Linked DNA regions of Struthio camelus. Each later gene encodes a partner of the first gene's protein in a complex. Links are inferred from orthologs where the notes say so. Each region holds a gene or a part of one and is shown on either strand. Other genes may lie near its edges. The genes, in order: NTS, NTSR1 and SORT1.

The links.
Region 2: the proteins of NTS (region 1) and NTSR1 are in contact, whole or in part, in a crystal structure (PDB 4BUO), measured with the Rattus norvegicus proteins. The link is inferred for Struthio camelus from reciprocal best matches to the Homo sapiens genes NTS and NTSR1. Residues at the interface, in NP_001095851.1 of Rattus norvegicus: Arg157, Arg158, Pro159, Tyr160, Ile161, Leu162; in NP_001102437.1 of Rattus norvegicus: Ser53, Asp54, Leu55, Asp56, Asn58, Phe128, His132, His133, Tyr146, Met208, Val224, Cys225, Thr226, Pro227, Ile238, Arg327, Arg328, Phe331, Cys332, Tyr333, Ile334, Ser335, Asp336, Trp339, Phe344, Tyr347, His348, Tyr351.
Region 3: the proteins of NTS (region 1) and SORT1 are in contact, whole or in part, in a crystal structure (PDB 4PO7), measured with the Homo sapiens proteins. The link is inferred for Struthio camelus from reciprocal best matches to the Homo sapiens genes NTS and SORT1. Residues at the interface, in NP_006174.1 of Homo sapiens: Leu152, Tyr153, Glu154, Asn155, Pro160, Tyr161, Ile162, Leu163; in NP_002950.3 of Homo sapiens: Val112, Ser113, Leu114, Ser115, Trp116, Lys260, Tyr304, Ser305, Phe306, Gly307, Leu308, Phe314, Ser316, Arg325, Ile327, Phe350, Tyr351, Ser352, Ile353, Tyr395, Gly399, Thr570, Gly571, Leu572, Ala573, Trp586, Trp597.

The regions. Positions count from the first base shown.
Region 1 is NC_090942.1:48,243,503-48,250,465, reverse strand, and holds the start of NTS (neurotensin/neuromedin N), read right to left. Parts: upstream 3,095-6,963; 5' UTR 2,839-3,094; coding exon 2,778-2,838; intron 1-2,777. UniProt on the Homo sapiens protein: Neurotensin may play an endocrine or paracrine role in the regulation of fat metabolism. It causes contraction of smooth muscle.
Region 2 is NC_090959.1:16,008,750-16,016,654, forward strand, and holds the start of NTSR1 (neurotensin receptor type 1), read left to right. Parts: upstream 1-4,868; 5' UTR 4,869-5,117; coding exon 5,118-5,810; intron 5,811-7,905. UniProt on the Homo sapiens protein: G-protein coupled receptor for the tridecapeptide neurotensin (NTS). Signaling is effected via G proteins that activate a phosphatidylinositol-calcium second messenger system.
Region 3 is NC_090965.1:4,135,291-4,142,885, reverse strand, and holds the start of SORT1 (sortilin), read left to right. Parts: upstream 1-4,553; coding exon 4,554-4,772; intron 4,773-7,595. Other genes in the region: PSMA5 (proteasome subunit alpha type-5), read left to right, coding at 552-629.

The DNA.
Region 1 (6,963 bases):
AACGCAACACCACCGTGCCTTCGTCCCAAGCTTTTGTGACATAAGTCATTCCCCTGGAAACAACACAGATGCATCACTGCAAGGTTATGCCCAGAGCTATTAGACTCTATCTCTCACCTAGTCTCCTTTCATATAATAGACCACCTATTCCCCAAGTCCTCAGAACGGCCTTCCTGTGGGCCCGATGTAATATGAATAATTGTACAGTATACTCCGGATAAGAAATCTCATGACTTAACTACCTTAATCCTTAATGCTTACCACTAGCTACAGGAAATAGCTCTCTGGCACATTTTAGGATTTTGCTTGCCTTTTGTGGTTGAAAAACCTTCGTATCTCATAAGGCTGATGTCAGCTAGGATGACCAAGTCCTACATCTCCTCAAACACTCCCAGTCAGTGTGCTTCTGTTATAGATGGAGTTTTTAACAGACACTTCCATTATTTTCCAAGCTACCACACTTTGTACTGTTGCATTGCTTCCCCTTTTCATTACTGAAGTCATCAAAAACTTCTCTGTGTTACGACAATCTTCCTCTCTACTGATGCTCATGTTCATCTTTGTGTTACTAGAACACTACAATTGCTCGCTCTTACTTTTTGCATTGAGGTCACTATTGAAAATATTGAATACACCAGTATTACAGAAAGTCAGTAGTAACTTCTCTCTCGCTTAATGCTTTCCATTTCAGCACTACCTATTGACAATGCTACCTCATCTCTTAAACGCTTGACCACTAACAGAAGCTGTACACGTAGTGCCAGATCTGCTCAGCCTAATTTTTACCAGTGATAGCAGCAGCTCCTGGGAATAGGGGAGCAGCCCATGTGGGATGGCGTCCTGAGTTGTGGTGCATGTCCTGGGTCTTACGAGCTGGGGACAATGAAAGGACGCGCGTCCGGTTAGCATCCTGGTTTTGAAATGCCAGGGGGGATGGCAGAAGGCTGGGCAAGTGGAACGCTGCACTTTATAGTTAGGTATTAAGAAACGTTTTGATTAAGCAGTCTGGAGAACATTACTTAGGAGACTGTTCCAGACTCCTAGAGTGAAGAAGGAAGCAAAGCTTGGGTGCCTATTCAGAAGGCAGCACATGCAGAGATAAAAGAGGAATGAAAGAGGCAGAGGAGGTAAAAGCATTAACAAGAACAGACTCTCAGAAAGCACTGAATAGAACATCTGATTATATGTTATTATTCATATCGGCAGAAAATCCACACACTTTGCTGTCCTCTTAATCATTCACTACTTACTGACAAGAAATATTGCTTCTATTCACACATTTGCATTCTGCAAGAATAGCTAAATTCCACAAGAACACACTTTCCCCTGAGGGCAAACATTTTCAAAAGAAAATTAAACTGAATGATCATTTTCTTTACAACATAATTGTCCATATTAATTAAAACTGACTCAGCCCTTCCAATGGTATTTCTCATTTAAATATAATTTCAAATTTTCAAGCAAATGAAACATCATATCAATTAAATATACAATTTGGTTTCTTTTTTATGAGCTTATTTTAATTTCCACTTAAATCTTTGCCTTTAATGGGCTTTCAGTCAGGCTCTACAAACAGTAGAGTAGGATGCTCTTCTCTGAAAATATTAACCATGTCTTCACTTAAAAAAGCTTTACATATATGGGGAGGGAATGATAAATATTAAGCATTGCCACTAAGATTACGGGCTCTCTAAGACACACAGAATAATTATTTTTGAACTGTGATGAACATAAAATGCAAGTGTTGTGTGCTACCTTTTTCTTCTGCAGAAATGTTCATCTAAAAGGACAATTATGAACTCATGAATCCTCCTGAAGCTGCTTGTATATTTACTCTTCTAGATTTTGCGGAGTTAAAAATTAAAGTAATTCACAAGTTAGTAAGATTGGGTTTTGAAACCTATCTTTCAAAATCTATGTTTCTGACACCTGTTCTGTGTCTGTATACAAACGAACATGTTTAATTGCCACTAAACTGTCTTTTTTGTCATACACACATGCACACACACACACACACACACGAACACACACACAAACTTAGCTGTGTCGTTTTCCAAGGGCGCAAGCAATGCATTTTAATACATAGTCCTCTTTTTCAGGTTTCAAAAAAATATATTCTTCGAATAAAAATACACTTATATTGAAATTCCTATTGCATGATCTGCATCTGCTTCAGCATTTTTTGTCATCATTTCAGACCATAATTTTACAGTTGCTAGCAATTTTTTCCAGAATCCTAAACCGTACTTCAGGGTAACTAAAGGGGTCTGACGTAAAACCTGAAGTGCACATATAATCATGTTGATGTGTATTATGGCAGGTATTCTTAGGGGCTGTAGAAACTGTAATTTCTATGACAGTTTGGAAGTGGAAGGTGTTCAATAAATTACAGATGAGGTAGCAGCGTGTATAATTAAGTGGTCTATGCCGAGATACGTTTCTCTATGGCTAGTCTACAGTAACAAGCAAAGTATTGATGCCCTCTTCGATGCTGTCTGAAGGAATGGCCAATACGAAGGCAGAAACTTAGGGGAGCGGCAGAGGAAGGGATGCTGGCCGGACGGCTGTTACCAGCGGCGGCCCCTTGGCACCCGCTGGACGTAGCCGCGTTAGCCCCAGGTGAGCTCGGCTCGTCTCCAGCCCCGCTGCAGGGGCCGGCTGCGCCTCAGCTCCGACTGCGGAACTTGGGCCGAGAGAGTTGGGAGGAGAAGAGGCGAAAGCGGCGCTCGCCCAGCCGAGCTGCGCAGGTGCGGGACCCTCCCGGCGCGGGGTCTTACCTGAGCAGAGGCTGCAGGCGGCCAGGGCCAGCAGCGCCACGCACACCAGCTGGGCTCTCATCCTGCCGCGCCGCCGCTAGCAGGGCAAGCCCATAAATCCTAGGGAGAGACGGACAAGAGAGACACACAGAGAGACACACAGAGACCGCGCGGCAGCTCCGCTCCGCTCCGCTCCCTCCCGCGGGCGGCTGCCGGGACCATGCGGGGCGCCCGGACCCTTCCCCAACTATATAAGCCGCGGGGTGATGTCACGGCAGCGCTGCCAGCGCCTCCTGAGGAAGCGCCCTCCCTCCTCTTCCTCCTCCTCCTCCCCCCCCCCCCCCGCCGTCGCGGCCGGCCCCGCCGCCGCTCCGCGCCGAGGGGCGCTGACGCCATTCGCCGCCTGACGCACGCGGAGCCCCGCGGGGGTGCGCGGAGCACCGCGGCGGCGGCGGGGCGGGGGGGGGGGGGGGGGAGGAGGCGGAGGAAGCGCGCAGCGGCTCCGTCGCCCCGCACGCACCGCTGCCCTGCGCCGCCGGGGACGGGTCGTGCCGAAAGGCGCCGCTCCTCTGGCCCCGAAAAGCGTTATTTTATTTATTTATATATTTTAAAGTAGTTGCTGGAGCAGCCGGTGCGCGGTGAGGGGCGGGAAGCAGCGGTGGCGAAAGCGCGGGCAGTGCGCGCAGCGCCGAACCGCCGGTTCCGCCGTTGCTCGGGGAAGCGCGCAGCGAGCCAGGGCAGCGGGTGCGCGGGGTGAAGCGATGCCGCCGTGAGCGCGGAGAGGCGGAGGGGAGCAGCGCGGGAAAGCGCACGCCGTGCCCCAGCCCGCTGTTGTGTCGGCAGCCTGAGGGCTCCCACAGGGCCTTCTCGTAAAATTTACTTTTTTTCCAGTTGAATTTTCACAACACCGGTAGGGTTTTGTTTTGTTTGTTTGTTTGTTTATTTATTTATTTTTTCCCTCCGCAACTAATACGGACCTGACTTCGTGAACAGCACCCCGGGCTTCAGACACAGTGAAACGCGCCGGGGAGCCGGCAGCGCCCGCCGCGCTCCCCTCTCTTTGCTGCACGTCCTACCCTACAGGACAGCCAAAATCTGGTACGGGCTCTCCTGTATCCCAGTGCCTCAGACGTAAAAACGCAAAAAAATGATCCGAAGTAGCGGGTAGGGCAGGCTAATCTTTACTGTGTGAGGATGTAAGTGTAAAGCTGAAGGCTGGTGTCAGCCTCCATCACTATATTGCTTTTAGCGTGTTTTTTCTCAGATCCGGACAAATGCTCCATCTGTTGAATGCAGATATTACAATGTGGAACATTTTGATCTCTTGTGAATACATTTCAGGGCTGATGCACATGCCACATATAGCAGGAACACACTCGCTGACTAGTAGATTCTTCTGTCGTCTTCACTGCCGAAAGTTTCCTTTAAAAATCAAAGAGCAAATGTGAGTGATGGCAGCGATGAGTTCTGTTTTCCTCCTGTGTTCTCTCTGCCTGTATATGAAATACTGAAATAGATGCCACAGAAACAGAAAACACACAGTTTTCAAAATCCTGCCACAGGAAACACATAGTGAGAAGAGTTTAATTGACTGATGTCCTTCCACCTTGAATCATCTTTCGCAGCAGAACAAAATTTAGCTTTGGAAGTTCTTTTGTGTTATGCTTGAATAAATATAAGCAAGAACAAAGTTTAGTACAGGGCTGTGGTTTTAGATGTCTTGAGAACACAGATTTTTATATGCTATTGGGAATACAGCTTTCTGCTTTATTAAGCTGAGATTAAAAAAAAAAAAAATCACATTGTACAGGCTCTGCTAGTCTGCCAGAAAGTTTTAGCTATCTGCCTTAGCACGGAGGTTAGATTAGCTGGCTACTCACGCTCCCCTCTAGTCCTATTTTCTATTATTTCCATGATGTGGAAAGACCAATCTGCAGCTGATTTTGCTCTGTGGGTGTTCTGCAGTTCAGAAAGCTCTATGAATGAGAATCATATTTCATAGATATTTTCTAGTGCCTACTCTCTGTCACAGATTTCTTCAATAGTGTAATTGCCCATATTCTTATGTAACTGGAATTTATAGGACTGATAGGTTATTTTTTCCTCAGGAAGACAACAACTGTCAATTTCCCTGACATTAAAATCTGTGATCACCTAATTGTTTCTTTTTTTTTAAATTATTTTTATTTTTTTAATCCTAGGATTCCAATTATTAGTGATTCCAAGGGGATGAATGTATGGTATGTTATGACCTGTAATCTTTTTTATCATCGCTCTGTTTTTACCCTTTTCCTGGAAAATGACAGAGCAGAAACTTCAGTGCTCAGAATCTTCTTTGCTTTCTCATGATCTTGAAAGTTCTTGACATATTATCTTCAAGTGCCCTGGATCAGGCACGACTGAAGTCAGACCATCAAGCAATTACATCTTTTTCTCAATAGAACTGAACTATCTTCTATTCCTCAGTTACTCCTTTATTTATTTTTTCCAGCTCTTTCCTGCACTCGTGCTATCTTCTGCTGCCCCATTAACTTTTACGTAGTAGGAAATTTAACCATTTTTACAGTGCATTCCCCAAATCATCTTGACTTCCCCAAGTCATCTTCATATCACATTTTTCCTCATGAGAAGGGTTTATCTTGCAAAGGAGCATGCTCCAGGGATGATTTAATAAGAAAAAATATATATTTGCATCTCAGATCTCCTTCTTGTTGTGTTTCTGTTTTTGTTTTTGTTTTTCTTTCCTTTTTTTAGTATTTCTCAAGCTAGAGAAAACAGGCACAGTTCCTTGTTGGTGGCTGTCTGTGCGGGAATCTCAGCCTATCTTTATTTACCCTGAATGCATGACTTAAACAGCACACTTTAGCTCCATTCACAACTGTGAGGCATCTGAAGATAATGAAACAATCAGGACAAATGGCAGATCCATGAAAGAATAGATACATGGACCTCCATTTGCCTGGTCATTGGAACATAAAACTACCATCATAATGTAAGGATGACACCAAATGCAAAAGCTGTAATCACGAAACAGAAGGAAAAAAAAGCCATTTTACTAATTATCCTGCAGTAGCAAGTACTGGAGACTATATTTAATAAAGAACAGTTGATTCTCCAGTTGGCAAAGTATTATGGCTTGGGACCACAAATAAACACAGTGGGACTAAATGAAAGGCTCAAGCGGCTGAAGCTGCTGAAGTTTTGTCATTAAATATATTAATCTTGTCTGAGATTTTTCCATGAAATTATTTTGTAGCCAAATCTTGCTGCAGGTATAGAAGTTTGGCGCCTGGAAGAGGAATTGTCCTGGAAGAAGTCAGCAAGAAATTTTTTCAAAACACCAAACTGTGGCTCAAGATGCTGACTCACAATGTCACATTTGAATTTAGTTGTGGTGATTAAAGCTATTTTGTTCCTACACCAGCTTGACTATCAACAGTTTAGGTTAATAAAGAAGAAGAAAACTTTGGTGAGTCAAGTTCATTTCTGTCATGTCTGCTTGAGGGACGATAAGCTCCAGCAAAACAGCAGGACAGACGGGAAAGGGTATTCAAAACATATTTAAAGCATAAAGCATAGTCACACACTGCAGCTGAATTTCTAAGGCATTGCGAGTCCTCTGTGTCTCTTTCTCTGAGCTCAAAATATATAACTCAGGTTTTTGTTCTGTTTGGTCAGGACAGTGACTCTCATAGTGATGCTATGTTTACCTTCTGAAAATCCCAAGTCAGATCCTGGAGACCAGTTGTGCTGCAGGGGAGAACAGAAGCAGCTCAAAGGTAAGAGGAGCTGATCCTTAACATGCTGGGCCATTCCTAAGAAAAATGTTAGGCATGTGCTCTACTTCACATCTGATCTCCTTCAGTCACTCTGTGTCTTTCACTTTCTGAAATTTCCAGAATGTGTGCTCTTCAAGGAAACCCTAAGGAGGCAGCTGCATAATGTGCAAGAATTTTCTGTTTTAGAAAAAGCATCACCACATTAAGATCTGAATCAGTAATGTTTTTTAATATGCAGTGAATCTATCAAATATTGAGAAGAGCTGTGCATCAGCAGAAGCTTCTTGGACATCTAATGACTAAAGAGGTATTCCTTTGTGTTTTAAAGTTCGGGAGTCTGAAACTGTGAAACTGGCATTTTCTGTGTAGACTCTGCAGATGAGGACTACATGCTTGGCAAGGCTTCTTTCCTTGAAGCTTGGACACTT
Region 2 (7,905 bases), on another chromosome or scaffold:
CTGAGCGCTCACTGATTTTACATCTTGCAGAACCTTGGCCCACAGACTGCAATTTTTACAGGCCTGTGCTATGCATCTTATTTGCCCTTCACCGAACAGCACAGTGAACATCTGGTTGCTTATCGGCCACCAAAGCTATATGGAAAGAGGTGGGATGCTTCCACGCGGTGCATGAACGCGTAGGGGTGTTTGCATGTGTGTGTGTGGGGATAAGGAGGTCGGGCTGCTCGATTTACTTTCCAAACCAGCGTTTGGTCTCTCCTCTTTGCCACTCATATAGCGGCGTGCTCAGACTGAAGGAGTCTCAGCAGGTTTCCGTGCTATGAAAATCACAGGCAATAAATATTGCATGTGTCAACCAGTTTGATTTAAATACTCTCCTTAAATCAGCTCAGTCAAACACAGTAAACAGTATACAGCAATCAGGAACCTTTTATTTTTCATCTAAACAAGCAATACTTTATTTTACAACATGTGGAGTGAGGGGAGAGGAGGAAGATGCACTTCCATGCCGGTAAGTAACGACACGGTCAATATTGCCATCAACAAAGCTGATATATGACCCTATTTCTACCACCCCTTTATCCTTCACTGTTTTTTTTTTTTTTTGCAAGTATAGCATCCCTAAAGTAGCCTCATGTCCCCCAGGATTTTACGTGCCAAACCCACTTCATAAGCTCCTGACTTTTAGGGATGTTTGAAGAAGGGACAGCCCCTCTATGCTGAGCCCCCTGTGAATTGTTTTTAAAGGCTTGAATAAGCCCAGCCTTGCCTGACTCAGGACCCTGCTCTAAACCCCGTCTTTAGGATTGGGTGCTGGGTCCTCAGCAGGGAACAAGGCTAACACCTTTCTCCTAGCACCTGTCTCTTGCAAAACTTTCTGTCTGCTGCTTTCTGTGTCCTTCAGAAAAATCCCATCTGGCGAAATCGGACTGCAGTAGGTTAATACGAAAAATTCCTAGCAGTTCCCAGTTGCAACAGGAAACAGCAAAGATGAAAACCACTTAGGTCAACATAAAAGGGAGCGAGGCAACCTATGGGCCTCACATCCTGGGCACTGTGGGACCCTTTGCTCAAAGTCCAGGTAATTTTAATAGACAAGGTCTTTGGGTGACATTTTCCTCCAAGATTTTAAGTAAATGCCTTGCTGTAACATTTGAGATCTGGCGTCTCTTGGTTTCCATGACTTTTTTTCTTTTTAAGCCACAGACACACACATACAAAATATATTAAAACGAGCCCAGCTTAGCAGAAAGGTCGGCTTGTTCGGAAACAAACAGCAGGGATTTAGGCTGTAAGCTTTGGTGCACACTAAATGAATGGGGCATCTCCACTGCTGCTTCTACTTGAAGGGAACATGGTGAAAAGCCTGGCAGGGATCAGGGGTGCAAGAGGGAAGAGATGCTCATTTCACAATCCCATATACCACTTCGCACATCCCTCAAGCCATCGATTAGCAATGGAGAGGCTAATAGTCGTGCTGGGCACGTCCTACGCAGCATGGCAGGAACGTGGTCGGTGTCCCCCTTGCAGCAGCAGTAGGTGTCCTGCTCCATAAGGAGGTGAGGACAAAAGGTAGAACCTGTCCAGACAAAAAGCTTTCTAAAAACAGAGAGGAGAGGTTGAGCCCTTTCTGTCAAGAGAAGGACAAGACTTACTTTTATTTTCCTCTTTGCATGAAGTGATCCACACTTTCGCTCTGAATATGACTGAAATAAGCTAGGTTTTAAACCCATTAGCAGGGCAACAAGATTCCTATTATATTTTTTCGTATGGTTTTGTTCGCCTTTTAAAGCAGCAAGGCCATCCTGACATGAAGCTTATGTTTTAAAAGGTCCAAGACAGCTTCAAGTCTGGTATTGCTCTCGCTGCTCACTTGTTATAGCCAAGAAATGCTGGTGATAATATCCTGCGGGACTAAGGAGCATCCTCTGGAAGATTTCAGGAGTTTTCTTATGAAGAATTGTTAAACAGGACAAGAACACACATTACTTCTGTGGGTCTGCCCAGGGCTGGCATCTTCATCCCAGGTTATTCTTCTCCTCCTTTAGCTTCCTGCAAGGTAGGTCCCCTTCTGATGCTTAGGATTTGGCTTCTTTTTATGCCTTTGTGGGGTGTTAATCATGGCTTTGTTATAGTAATTCTGTCTTGATACACTGCTCTGGATATACAAAGAACCAGAAGAAGCTCAAGGTGTAACCCCACAGAATGTGGCTGGGCATGAGCGGAGGGCACTTTGTTGAGCGGGAGCAGTGTCAATGCTGCATCTCAGGAGACAGGCTCTGGAAAGCTGGCAAACATATCCCTGACTGGGGTAAACTGGGACAAATTCATGGACACCGATGTACTTTTGAGAGTCGCATCATGATCTAGTCATGTGCCCAGGCTCAGGGATGGCCTTTGGCAGAGAAGTGCAGGCTGAATGGGTGTGGGTGGGAGAGGAGCAGTGTCTTGGTAGCCTTTGTATGTAGCCTCATCTGCCAGGGACACCCAAAGAAGAGTTGGATAAGCCTCACGTCCTTCCTTCCAGGCATCGACTTATGCTAGAAGACAGGGACACTCATTTAACCATGAGGCACACACAGCAGCTGTGAGACCACTCTTGGGATCTTCTGAATGAGGTGATTTTATCCCAGGCCATGGGATAAACTCAGATCGATGAGAAAAAAAAACTGCCCCTGCTAGTAAAAGTGCTTCAGTTGCAGCTGAAACAGGCTTGCCAAGCAATTAATGGAATATAATAAATTAATTAACTCATAGAAACATCCTGCTGAAGCATTTAGTGATCAGAGCACCCAGCCTTTTCATTACGGATATGTATTCTTCCAATGCACTTTACAAAAGGAGATATCTTGCAACAAATACTGGCTGTACTGGCCTGTTAAAGTGTCGATTTTAAATCAAGAGTCACATTCGTTACAGGTAGCTGATATTTCAGTGTGTAATTAATGTTATTTTTTTGACTATATCTGTTGATATTGCCTGCCAATATTCAGCTCGGAGGGAACATGGAGGAGGCGATGCGTTGAGCACTTGGGAGCAGCTGCTAGGACAGAGCTGGAGATGTAATATTTCCCTTGTAATCAGTCTTGTTTGCATTGTCTGTGCGCAGAAACGTGAGGCAACAGAGTCCAGAACAGGGTATTTTTAGAGACAGCTGTTGATATAAACATACATATACATATAATTTAAAATTAGACCAGCAGATAGGCATCTTGTTTCTGAGGATACCAATGGAGAAGAACATGCTTCTCAGTCGTGGTTGGCTCCTTTGGACATCGGTCAATCAGCATGACCGGTCACTTGCTTCATGTCCCACTTTCCTTCCTCAGCATGAATATTCTTGATTCATCTTGAGAACCCATCCAAGAAACAGAAACAACTGGTGAGACCAGCTGGGAACACCAGCCGTGACGAACCAATCTCCAGTAATGGAAATTTCATAACTGAACCTTTTAAATGAAAGGAACATTGGTGCTAAGAGATTATTAGTCATTCTTTAAACTAGTGTGGGATGAGTGATAGAAAATATTTCTCTCCATATTTGTATTACTGAGTATGATTAAATAAATCTGATTTTGTTTAGCCTTCCGTGGAGATCCTATCTGCTAAAGCTAATAGGAGGAAAGTTTGGGGACGTGTTGACTCTTGGCGGACAGCTGTGGAAAGTTCACAGTCTGCGAGCACTGATGATGTGATTGACTGCAGGACTAGATATGTTCTTGCATCAAATAGCTAGATGGTCTGTAGGACATCAGCACACTCAGTGGGCCCACGGACTGAGGGAACCAAATACCAGTGTTTGCTAATGAATAAACTGAACAGTTATGGCTCTCTTTGGCCAAATCAATGATTCCTTGGAAGTGATTTTTCCAGATCTCTTCTATGCACTTCTAAAGACCCTTATCAAAAAGACAACTGAATGAATAACCAGCTAATGAGTTTTGCAAGGCAGCTGGTGCAGTGTCCCTGGCCTGAAAGGAAGTATTCCCTCTGTAGACTTTGAGTGCCTCTCCCTGTCAGGCACCCCCTTGTTGCCCTCGGCATGGCCACGGCACCCCTCGTCCCTGCTCAGCCCCTCTCTACACGCTTGTGCCTGCAACTGGGCTGCTTAGAGAGGACCTTAAATGCCCAAATTCGAGGGTTTAGGATGGGGGAAAAGCTGCTAACGGGGACCAAAGTGAAGCAGCTCACTGCTGTCACTACTGTGCCATTGGGCTGAGGGGGCATCAGGCAGATTAGGGCAGAAGCAGCTCTTTTTAGGCGGCTGTTCCCCTCCTTTAAATGCATTTCTCCTTGCAGCAGCAGCAGCAGCAGCAACAGGACGGGTGTTTGGGGGCTGCGGTGATGCCCAGGGGTGATGGAGCATCCCTGGTGCCTCCCCTCTGCCCAGGGTGGGGGTGGCAGGGCTGGGTCCCCCCTCCAGCTCCCGGCCGGGGGAGCCCCGTGTTCTGCCTGCATTTGCTCGGGGTGGAGACGAGGGAAGGGGGGTCCCTGGGGGGGGTCTACCCCCGAGGGCTCTGCGGGCTCCCCCGGGAAGCGCCCTCCCAGCGCCGGGAAAGCCCCGGGGGGGGTGGGGGGGGCGGCGCGGCGCCTCCCGGGTGTGGGTGTTTGTGCGTGTGTGTTTGTGCGTGTGTGTGTGAGTGTGCATGTGTGTGTGTGTGTGTGTGTGTGTGTGTGTGTGTGTGTGTGCGTGCAGGGAGGCTCCTGCCCGGCCGGGGCACATGTGGGCAGCTGCAGGGAGGAGAGCGCCGGAGCTGCCGGCTGATCGCAGCTGACAGCGCTGCGAGGCTGCTCCGGCGTGTGCGTGTGCGTGTGCGTGTGTGTGTGTGTGCGTGTGCGTGTGCGTGTGCGTGTGTGTGTGTGTGCGCGGCTCTCTCTCTCTCTCACACACACACACACACACACACACACACGCACACACAGAGGCAGCCCGGGAGCTGCAGGCGCCTCCTCCCCGACGCATTAAAGCGAGCCAAGTTTCCACGTCGGGGGTTAGTGGCACCTCGGGGCGCAGCCGCGGACCCAGCCCGGCGCCGGGCTCTGGGCAGCGCCGGGCGGGCTCGGGCTCGGGCTCGGGCTGGGCTCGGGGCTGGGGCTGAGGCTCGGGCAGGGGGATGCACCTGAACGCCACGGCCCCGGCCGTGCCGGGGGCAGCGCCGGGCGGCCCCCTCCGCCTGCACCCCACGGGCTATGCCCTACCGGCCGGCAACGCCTCCAACCGCTCCGACCTGCTCCCCAAAGGGCCCGATGAGGAGGACCTGGACGTCAACACCGACATCTACTCCAAAGTCATGGTGACGGTCATCTACTTGGCTCTCTTCTTGGTGGGCACCGTGGGCAACTCCATCACGGCGTACACGCTGGTGCGCAAGAAGTCGCTGCAGAACCTGCAGAGCACCGTGCACTACCACCTGGCCAGCCTCGCCTTTTCCGATCTCCTCATCTTCCTCCTCTGCATGCCTATCGAGCTCTATAACTTCATCTGGGTCCACCACCCCTGGGCTTTCGGGAATGCCGTCTGCAAGGGCTACTACTTCCTTCGGGATGCCTGCACCTACGCCACGGCGCTCAACATCGCCAGCCTGAGCGTGGAGCGCTACATGGCCATCTGCCACCCCTTCAAAGCCAAGAGCATCATGTCCCGCAGCCGCACCAAGAAGTTCATCAGCTGCATCTGGATCGCCTCCTTCCTCCTCGCCATCCCCATGATCTTCACCATGGGGGAAATCTACGGCAAGGACCAGAAGCCTGACTCCCTCATCTGCACCACCATCGTGGACGCCTCCACGCTGAAGACGGTCATCCAGGTGAGGATCCAGGCGATCGGGCGCGGGGAGCTGCAAACTTTGCAGCGCCTGCTCGGGCCGGGTGGGGGAACCGGGGCTGGGGGGAGGGGGTAGTGACGGGGGGGTCCTGGCAGCCCCAACGGGGCGGCCAGGCGGCACTGGCGGCAGCGGGGTCCACGGGGGCTCGGCTCCGTGCCCGACCTGCCCCCTCTGCCAGGCGCCGGGCTGGGAGCCTGCACCAGGCTGAACCCGGCTGCAGACCCTCCGCAGCGCCTCTGCTCCCCGGGCTGGGCTGGGGTCTAAAGCTGTCTCGGGCCGGGAGCCCCCCTTAATGCAGACCCCGAGCACCGGGACCCCGGCTCTGCCCTGGGGCTGGGGCTCCCTTGGCGGCCCCGGCTGCCCCGGGGGTGCTCGGGTTCTCCCCAAAAGTAGCAGTTCATCGCCAGAAAGCCCACAAATCTCCGCCCTTTCTCTGCATTTTTATCTCCTTTCCTCTTGCTGGAGAAGGGGCCAGCACGAGCAGGGAAAACAAAACCCTCACTCCCCCTCTCCCAGTTTCTTTAGTTGATTCATAGCCCATTTCCTCTGTGTAGTAACAGATCCTAATTCCAGAAAGTTTGAGGCACAGGCTGCAGCGCAGGCATCCCAAAGGAATGGCACCTCCAAAGCCAAGAGCTGGTATTTTTGTTGCTTGGGGGAGATGTGCTATAACTAGCAGCCCCCCAGAAAGGCTTTGGGGGTCTCCACGCAACAGCTGATCCCATAGTCCCACGCGTGGAAGGGATTTTGGATTTCAGCATCGGCACCATCACCACTGCGCAGGGCTCAGGGGGTCTTGGGTATTTGTTTACTGGAGCATCAGGCTTGAAAAATGTAAGAGAGCTGGGAGGAGAGCTGGAAAGAGCAAGGCGCGAATGTGCACAGCTCCTTTGCCGCCAGGCTCACACGCAAGGGCTTTTCAATCTTTTATTTTGAACATGAATTTTAGGTGGTTTTAATCACCAGCCGGTTAGAATTTAAAGCTGCATGCGTACTAAATCCTTTGAAATGTGCCCACGGTTAGGGGGAGGAACTTAAATGGAGGCAAATCAGAACCATTTCTTCTAGTGAAAGTGGACAAAGGTAAATGCAGTTAGATTTAAAATCAGAGCCTTTAGATGTTTAGACATCTCTGTCCAAGTTTCAGGTATATCGCTCCAGCAAACCAAAGTCGAGCCCCCACAGAAGCACTGAAAAACAGCTCTGATTTTTGTCTTGATACCAATGAGGCTCTATTTTTCCTGTAAGTGCTTTGTAGATTTTGTCGGTGCCAGCCCAGTGTACTTAACCCAAATTCTCTACTCTCTACAGAGACCTGAGCTATCCAATTTGAGAACAATGTGGCTGAAATGTATTATTTCCAGCCATCTTCCTTTTAGGATTAAACTGGTGCTCAGTATTAATATGATAGGGCTAAAGAGATAGGATTATTTCCCAGTCACATCTTCTGAGATTACGGTTTAAACAATTCTGAGCATATTTCACAGTATCACTATTATTCCGTATATACCTTATCCTGTTATCCAAGTAAGCAGACAGACATTAAAGCATAGCATGTGACGTTCTCACGTGCTTTACCTTCAATGCTGTTGGGCTTTTTGTTCTTTCTTTTTTTATTCCACTTGCGAATTAATTTGCAAGTAAAAAAAAGGAGGAACTTCACAGCTAAAAAAGGGGCCTTGGCAGCTGCTGAAAAAAACACCATACCTTTCCTTCTGGGGGGACCTAGCCCCAAATGTCGATTTGCTAACATGGGCAGCTGGTTTAATGGCCCCGGATCACTCCTCTTTTGCGCACGCTGAAGCAGCACGTAATGTGAAGCAGGTCCCTGGACCAGGAGAAGCTCCAGAGTGAATAAGCAAAGCAGCTGCAGGTCAGGTTTGAAGTGCATTAATGGAAAGTGTTGCACAGTGTGTGATCGGGCACTTGCACGTTGTTAGAACTAGGCTGTTCAGAGCTTTTAAAAAAAAAAAAAGAAATAATGGAAGATCCAGGAGAGAAAGAAAGGGCAGTGGTAATGCGGGACAGCCTGATGCACAAAGGTCTTGCAGCTAGGAAATCCTGAGCCCTGGGCTTT
Region 3 (7,595 bases), on another chromosome or scaffold:
ATTTTTTTTTGTCCCTGCCTCAGTTTCCCAAAGCTAATCCACAGTCCCCTTTTGAGTATTTTGCTTTGTTCTCTTAAAGCGTGTAACAGGCCAGGACTTGTACCCTTCATTACTGGAGGAGAAGTGGTCCTTCTGGCTCCTCAGTGTTGCCTCCTGAATCTGAGCAAAGAGATATTTCTACCAAGCACTGCAGGCGCGGGGCCACCCTGAACTGCAGCAAGAGGAACCGCTCTTCCAAGAGGTGTTTGATGAAGAGCTAGTATTAACAGGGTCTCTCCCCGCAGCAAGCAGAAGCGGAGCCTGAGCCCAACAGACGTTCCCGGCTGCTGCTACTATGAGGAGATTGAGTCAATTAAAAGCTATTTCTGTGGCAGCCAGCTATTTTGGGGAATCAAAGAGCATGTTACAGGGTGGAATGATCTTGCTGGGCTGGCAGATCAAGCAGCTGAGAAGGAACAGCTGCTGTCTGCTGTGGCTTCTCTCTGTTCCCTGCCCCATGCTGTCACTTCACATATGCAGGCACGCTTAACCCCTTGCTCTTTCTCTTTCAGCTTGCCACAGTGGAGCCGGGAATGAAGTTCCACATGTATACGAAAGAGGAGCTTGAAGAGGTCATCAAGGATATTTGAAAAAGAGAGACCCCCTCAAAGGCTCATTCCCCAATCAAAGTGAACTGACTCTCGGTTCCTTCCAGTACCTGTGATTTTATTTCCAGCAGCATCTGTACTTGCTCTTCTTAGAAGGCTCTTAAGGTTTTTTTACAGTTTCTGTACATAACTGATCTCTACAATAAGAGGAAATGACAATAAATCATTTTGTTACTCTATCTTGGGTTCCTCATAATGGATGGAGGTCTGAGGTGGGGAAGTGCTCGACCGTTTAGAGCAAAACCCAGGAGCAGGTGAGGACAACATCTGCTGTTGACATCGCTGCAGGGCGAAGCAGCGCGTGCCGGGCTTGCAGAGTTCTCTGGGAATCGCTCTCTGGACGGCGCTGTTCCTAACCGCCTTCCAGACGCGGCGGCTGCTCCAGGAGCCCTTGCTGGTTATGCCAGTAGCAAGTCTCCCTCTCGTGGAGAATGAGGCTATATCACATCAGGACCTCCCATGTATAATTTTACATGGGCTTTTTAGGTCTGCTCATACCCAAAGCAGGCTTGGTGTTTGTGCTCCCTTCTGAATGGGAGTTTGGAAGTACATGCAATGACTATGTGATACAGCAGAGTTCCCCAAGCGTGGAATAGCTCTGAGGTTAAGAGGACAACCCCTTACTCGTTGACCTGGGCAGGTGTCACTGAATTTTGAGAGTATTTTCATTCTGACCAGCGAACTTTTGCTCATCTACTTAATGGGGCTTTTGTTTCTAGTTACCCCCTGCAGGCACCTCTTTGTCCTTGAAATAGCATCTGAGTATTAAAGATTGCTACTGAGATGAAAATAGTCTGGCCTAAGCAGAGTTTAGCAAAGTACTTTCCTGCGAAATCAAGACTGCGTGGCCAGTGCAGCTTCTGAGACTGGAAAACCAGCTCTGCTGTTAGGAGGCTCCTGGTAACACGTTGACTATGCAGTTCTGTGGCTTTGTAGGCAGCAGAGGCTGTGTCTCCCCGAGGCTGCTCCGCTCTCTTCCCTATTTGGAGAAGGTAAAATTTCATCCTGAACAAAACAGCGCTGACTTCTGTGAAAGAAGCAGATCCCGTGCTGCTGCTGGGAGTGGGGATCGCCTGATAAGTGGGGATGCTTCCAGCATTACATTTGACTGAAATGACTAACTTTCCCCTCAATTCAGAGGTCGGGATTGACTGCCGACCTCCAGCAGACATTTCACTGCTGTTTGGCTTTGCCAAACAGTTGCAGCAAACTGACACGACTGATCTCGCGGCCATTTCGCAGGATGGAAAACGCCGATCCTGTTAGTTTTTTTTTCTTCTCTTGCTGTTGCTGAATGCCTTCAGATGCTGGAAAGGCAACCAGATCTACATGGCTGGAAGATCTGTCCTTAGACAACATCTATTTTCAGAATAGCAGAAGCCTTTGCTCCTACGAGTTTCTGCTGTGAGGTTTTTTCCCCCCTCGTTGGTACGAGTTCAAATGAAACAAGCTGGAGAGCCAGGTGATGCCTGAGGTCTTGTGATACTAGTTGAAGACAGCATCTATATCTGCAGGTGGAAGAATAAACAAGTGGCTGGTGGACTTTGCCCTTCAGGGAGACTTCTTTGTAGCCTTAATGTGGGAAAACAAGTCCTTCAACTTTCACTCCGCTTGCATGGCCTTTGAACCACTGCCCCTGGTCTCTCTATGCTACTCTTCATCCCTAGATGAACTTGGGAAGTGAGGAGGGAAAGTCCAGGGTGGAGGTCACTTACCTTGAATGTTTGGCATGCCAGAGATGGTATTGGGGCTGCTGCTCCATGTGTTGCCCTAATAAACTCATCCAGTAAATGCAGCTCACACTGGTACCAGCTACTGTGTATGTGGAAGAAATAAGTACCCTTTATCTTTAGTATTTTAAGCCTTTACATTCACTCAAAGCTAGGTCATGTTCTCTTGCTTCTCCTTTGGAAGGGAAGCCGAGGAGCGTTTCCAGCTGTTCTGCAAACCCTGGCACATGAAGAAACCTGCTGTTCCCGGAGGTAGTGCTCTTTCTAGGCTTGTTTCTGTCCTAGAAAACACAAAAAGCTAATTCTTCCCAGCATGGCACTCCAGCAGAAAATAGTCCTTTATGTCTTTCCCTAATCACATGGTTTGCTGGTGGCAGCATCACATGGTAGCTGGTTCCTCTGAAAAATCAAGGCTTTGTGTTCCTTATATCTGATCCGTCTTGGCTCCATTGAGGGAAAGGAAAAAAGCCGGAGCTCTTTGCAGGCAGTCCGAACGCAAGAGAGGATCTGAGCGTAACAGAGCTGGGCGCACGCACCTCCCGTGCGGGTGGTTGATACCTGCCTCCGCTCTCTTTATCGGTTGAACGATGCCACCCAGGCAGCTTGTCACAAAGGTGTCTTCCCTTAGGTCTTTCATGCATCAAGCTCACAGATTTTCCCTTTTCAGGGCAAAAAAAAAAAAAAAAAGTAAAAGAATGACACAGCAGTAAGAAGAAAACCCTCTTTTTGCAAATGAGGAAGGATGAAGGCCTGGAGGGCGAGTAGCAAAGAAGTCAGGAACTTTCCCAAGTGCGTTTTGATCTCAACTTTGTGCGGCCTTAGGTGTGGCAGGAGGCTCAAGCGCTGTCTGCGCGGCCCGAGAGAGCAGGCGTCAGGGAAGAGGGTTCCTCGCCCGCTTCCCCAGCGTCCTCCTCGCTTGCACAGCCCGGCTTACCCTTGACGGGAGGATGAACCTTTCACGCGGGATCGCGGCCAGATATCCAAAGCCGCCTCCTTTCCCGGGCTCCCGCCAAGGGATCCGTCGCTTAATTTATTGGGAAGCCGCTTTCCGCCCGCGGTGCGGCGAGCGGCCCTCTCCCCGGCGGCGGGCGCCGTCAGCGCCAGGGCAGCGGCCGCAACCTGGAAGGCGCCGGCGTCGGCTTGCTGGTGCCAGGCGAAGCCTTACCGGGCCCTAGCGCGCAGCCAGCCGAGCCGGGGCGGGAGGAGAGGGTCGCTGCCCTCCGCTAAACCCGCTCGTGGAAGCGCCCCTCGCAGCCGGCTGCGCGTCCGGCCCCTCCGCAGGCCGCGACCTCTCTCCGCGCTTTTCTCCTCTCGCCGGGTTTGTCTTTCTCGCTCCTCCCGCCGGCTCAGCGCCGCACGCCCTCCGGCCCCCCGTTTCCTGGTGGCGTCGAGCGAGCTCCCGCGAGCCCCTCGCGCTGGGGCCGCCGGTTGTTTCTGCGTGGCCCCCAGAGCCGTGAACCGGGCCCCAAACCGGGACGGGTGAAGCCCGGCCTGAGCATCCCTGTGCGGGGCTGCCTTGCCAGGGTCCCCCCCCATTACTGGGCGGCTTCTCCGGGGCCTGGGTGTCTCTGGGAGCAGGGGGTCCCTGCTCTCCCTGCCAGGCCCGTTTTTTTTTTTTTTGGGGGGGGGGGGTGGTCTGCCCGCCGGACGCCTGGGCTCCTCGCACCCCCCCCCCCCCCAACCGCTCCGCCCACGTGGGCCGGCCCCCACTTTGTGAATGGGCGAGGGGGCGGGCCTTCTCAGGGTGCCCCGCCACCTCGGCCAATCAGAAAATCGCTCCGCGGCCCCGGTCGCCGCCAATCAGAGGGCTGTGTCTAGGTGGACTAGAATGCGGGGTGGGGAAGGGAGGCGGGGGCAGCGGGCAGTCGCGCAAGGGGTACGGTGGGGAGCTAGCCAGTCACGGAAGGAGGAGAGAGGTGGCTCGGCGGTGATTGGCAAGCGAAGAGGCAAATCAGGAGGCGGGGGCGGGGCGGGGCCGCCGGGGAGGCGGGCCGCCCGGTTGCCATGGCAGGGAGCGACGGCGGCCGCGGCCAACCGCGGCGGCGAAGCGGGCGGGGGCGGGGCGCGGGGGGCGGGGCGCGGGGCGGGGGCCGCCAATGGGGCGGCGGGGGCGGGCGGACGGGGCGCGGCGGGGGCGGGCGGCGGCGCGGGGCGGCGGGCGGCGGCCGGAGTCGCCATGGGGCCGCGCGGGGCAGCGCCGCGCGCGCTGGGGCTGGCGCTGGCGTTGGGGCTGGGGCTGGCGCTGCGCCTCGCGCCGCCGCCCCGCGCCCCCCCGCGCCCCCCCCGCGCCATCGGCGGCGGCGGCGGCGGCCTCGGCCTGGCGGCGGCGGCGGGCGGCGAGGCCTGCGGCGGCCTGCGCGGCGTCCCGGCCGCCCTCGGCAACAACACGCACCAGGTGAGCGGGCGGGGCCGGGAGCGGGGCGGGCGGGACCCCCCGGCAGGGACAGACCCCCCCCCCCCGGCAGCCCCCCGCCCCGTCCCGGAAAGGCACCGGCAGGGTCAGACCCCCCCCCCCGGCAGCCCCCCGCCCCCGGCAGCTTCCCCCCCCCCCCCCCCGGCCGGGCAGGTACCGGGACAGACAGGCCTCGCTGCGCTAACAGGTCTCGGGAGGGACGGACGGACAGACAGAGGCTGTCTGCGCAGCTGTGGGGAGGGACAGACAGACCCCTTCCCCCCCGGCTCCCAGGACGGACGGACAGACAGACAGACAGGCGGTCCCTCCCTCCTAGTCCCCCCCCCCCCCCCCCCGCAGCCCCTAGGGGACATGGGCAGACAGACGGACAGGCAGGTCCGTCGGGGAGCGTGGACAGACAGACGGACAGGCAGGTCTGTTGGGGAGGCATGGACAGACAGACGGACAGGCAGGCAGGTTCCCTGGGGAGGCGTGGACAGACGGACAGGCAGGCGGCCCCTGTAGTCCCTGGCACAGACAGGCGATCCCCAGCAGCAGCAGGACAGAGGGACAGACATCCCATCCTCCTTCCGCACCCACCGGGGCAGACAGACAGACGGACGCGCCGTCACCCTGTCCGTGCTGGGGCAGGGCAGGGCGGACTGACAGAGGTTGACCGGCGCGTGCTCCAGGACGGACACCCAGACCCCCCCCCCGTTGCACTGATGGGGGCAGACGAGGGGACAGCTAGCTAGCCAGACAGACGGACAGGCAGGGGACCTGTGGAGAGGCACCCCTGCAACGCCAGGACAGACAGCCGCCCGCCCACCCTCCGGCGGGTACTGGCAGCGGGCCGGTGGTGAGGCACCTCCCGTGGACAGACCCCCAGCGCGAGCGCCCGCTGCCTGGACGGACGGACGGACAGGCTGACTGATGGGCAGGACGACAACCAGCCAGCCTGAGGCTCTCCCTCTCCCTTCGCCCTGGGCAGGGACAGGACAGACAGACAGACTGACCCCCCACCGCATGCCGGGAGGGAGGTCCCACCGGGATCGCAGCCGCCCTGCGGTCCCGTCCTGCCCTCCCGCTGCGGGGACGGACAGACTGACAGCTCCCTGCCGCGTGGGCGCCGGCGGAGAGGTAGGGGACAGACAGACAGACCGGCAGCTCCTTCCTGCCAAGCGGGTGACGGAGCGGTTCCCGTCCCTGTCCCCGCTCGGCGGGCTCGGGGCGCTCGCCCCCCGCCTCCCCGCCGCCCTTGGGAGTGGCGAGGGCGAGAGATTAAGCGATGTCGCCAGATTTGGCCGACCTAAAATCTAATCTGCCCGGTTTATTTCCCGCTGGCAAAGATGACCTTAAAACCCGCGGGAGAACCGCTTCGGTCCTTCCTCTGCTCCTCCGCGGCGCCGGGAAATGCCCCCGGTGCTGGCAGAGAGAGGAGCCCGTCCCCGGCGTTTGGCCCCGTGGCTGCTCAGCCCTTGCCGATCGCTCGGTGTTACTCATCCACGCGGGCAGCTCCGGCTTGCCCGCGTGCCAGCGTCCGGGTTGAACATTAACCGTGCCGAGGATGCCGCGGGTACGGGCTGCCCTTGGCTGGCAGCGCCCCTTGGCTCGGCCGCCGCGCAGGACTGCTTGTGCCGGGCTTGGGGCCGGGCAGCGGCCGGGGCAGCCCCGAGCCAGGGCCCGTCGGGGCAAAGAGCTGCCTAAGCCGACGCCGTCGCTGCGTTGCACCGGAGGTGCCGCGTCTGCAGACTCGGGAAGAGGCGGGCGCGCGTTGCTGCGGGTCGAGATCTGGCAGGCTCGCTCCGCGCCGCGCGACTGTAGCCGCTGCCCTCTCAGCCGCCGGCTGCACCCGCTCTGCCGGCCCGGCCGGTTGCTAATTGGCGGTTGGAAGTGGGTTTGGAGCCCGGCTCTACCGGCCGACGCTCTGCTTTGAGCTGGGCCGAAAGCTGGGATCCGGCTGCTTGATTACACGCGAGTGTTTAGCTTGGCCGGTGCTGTTTTGGCAACCTCCCTGCCCCGTCCTGCTCTTCCAGGCCTCTCCGGGAGATTTCCTTCGCCGCCGCGGAGGCGCTCGGCAGCCTTGCCACCCGGGCAGCCCCGTCCCGCAGAGGCGAAGCTCAGCCCGAGCGCGAGTGCTGCTCCCAGCCGGGCTGGGAAGGGGGCCAGGCTGGCCTGACTCCTCGTCCTTTCCCTTAACCCGCGAGCCAGCCGCTCGCCCGCAGCTTCTGCAAAAGACACGTAGTGTCTTGGAGAAACAGGCTGTGTCGAAAGTCCACGGTGGGTAATAACGCGGCGTCTCAGCGGGGAGAAGAATGCGCCCGTTTGTTCGCTGCGACCGGCCGGGTTTTGTCCCTGCGGCGCCGGTGCCTGCTGGAGAGCAGGGCGAAGGAGCCGCGGCTTGTGCTCCCTTACGGGCCCCTGGGCCGCCTGGCAGGGAGCGAGATCGGGCGGCCTCTTGTGCGGCGCTTGGCCTCTCCGTTTTCCTCCTTTCCTTCCTCCGGCGGCTCCGCAGGCCTGAGCTAACGTGGGCGAGCGCGGGGCTCGCAGCACCCTCCTTCCCCAGCCGCCGGGGCTGCGCCGGCCCCTGCTCGTCCCTTACCCCGGTTCCCGCTGGGAGAGGCGTCCCGAAGCCGCCGAGCCGTGCGCGCGGAGCTGCCGGGACTGGGAACAAGCCGGGCGCCTTGGCTCGAGCGGCAGCGTTTCGAGGCGCCTCTGTCCTTGCGAGGGCACCGAGGGAAGTCGCTTAGCTGCTGCCTCAGTTTCCCCCTACCGCGAAGCAGGAGGAGGGAAGGCCCCTCCTTGCAAGAGCCCTGCCAGGTCAGC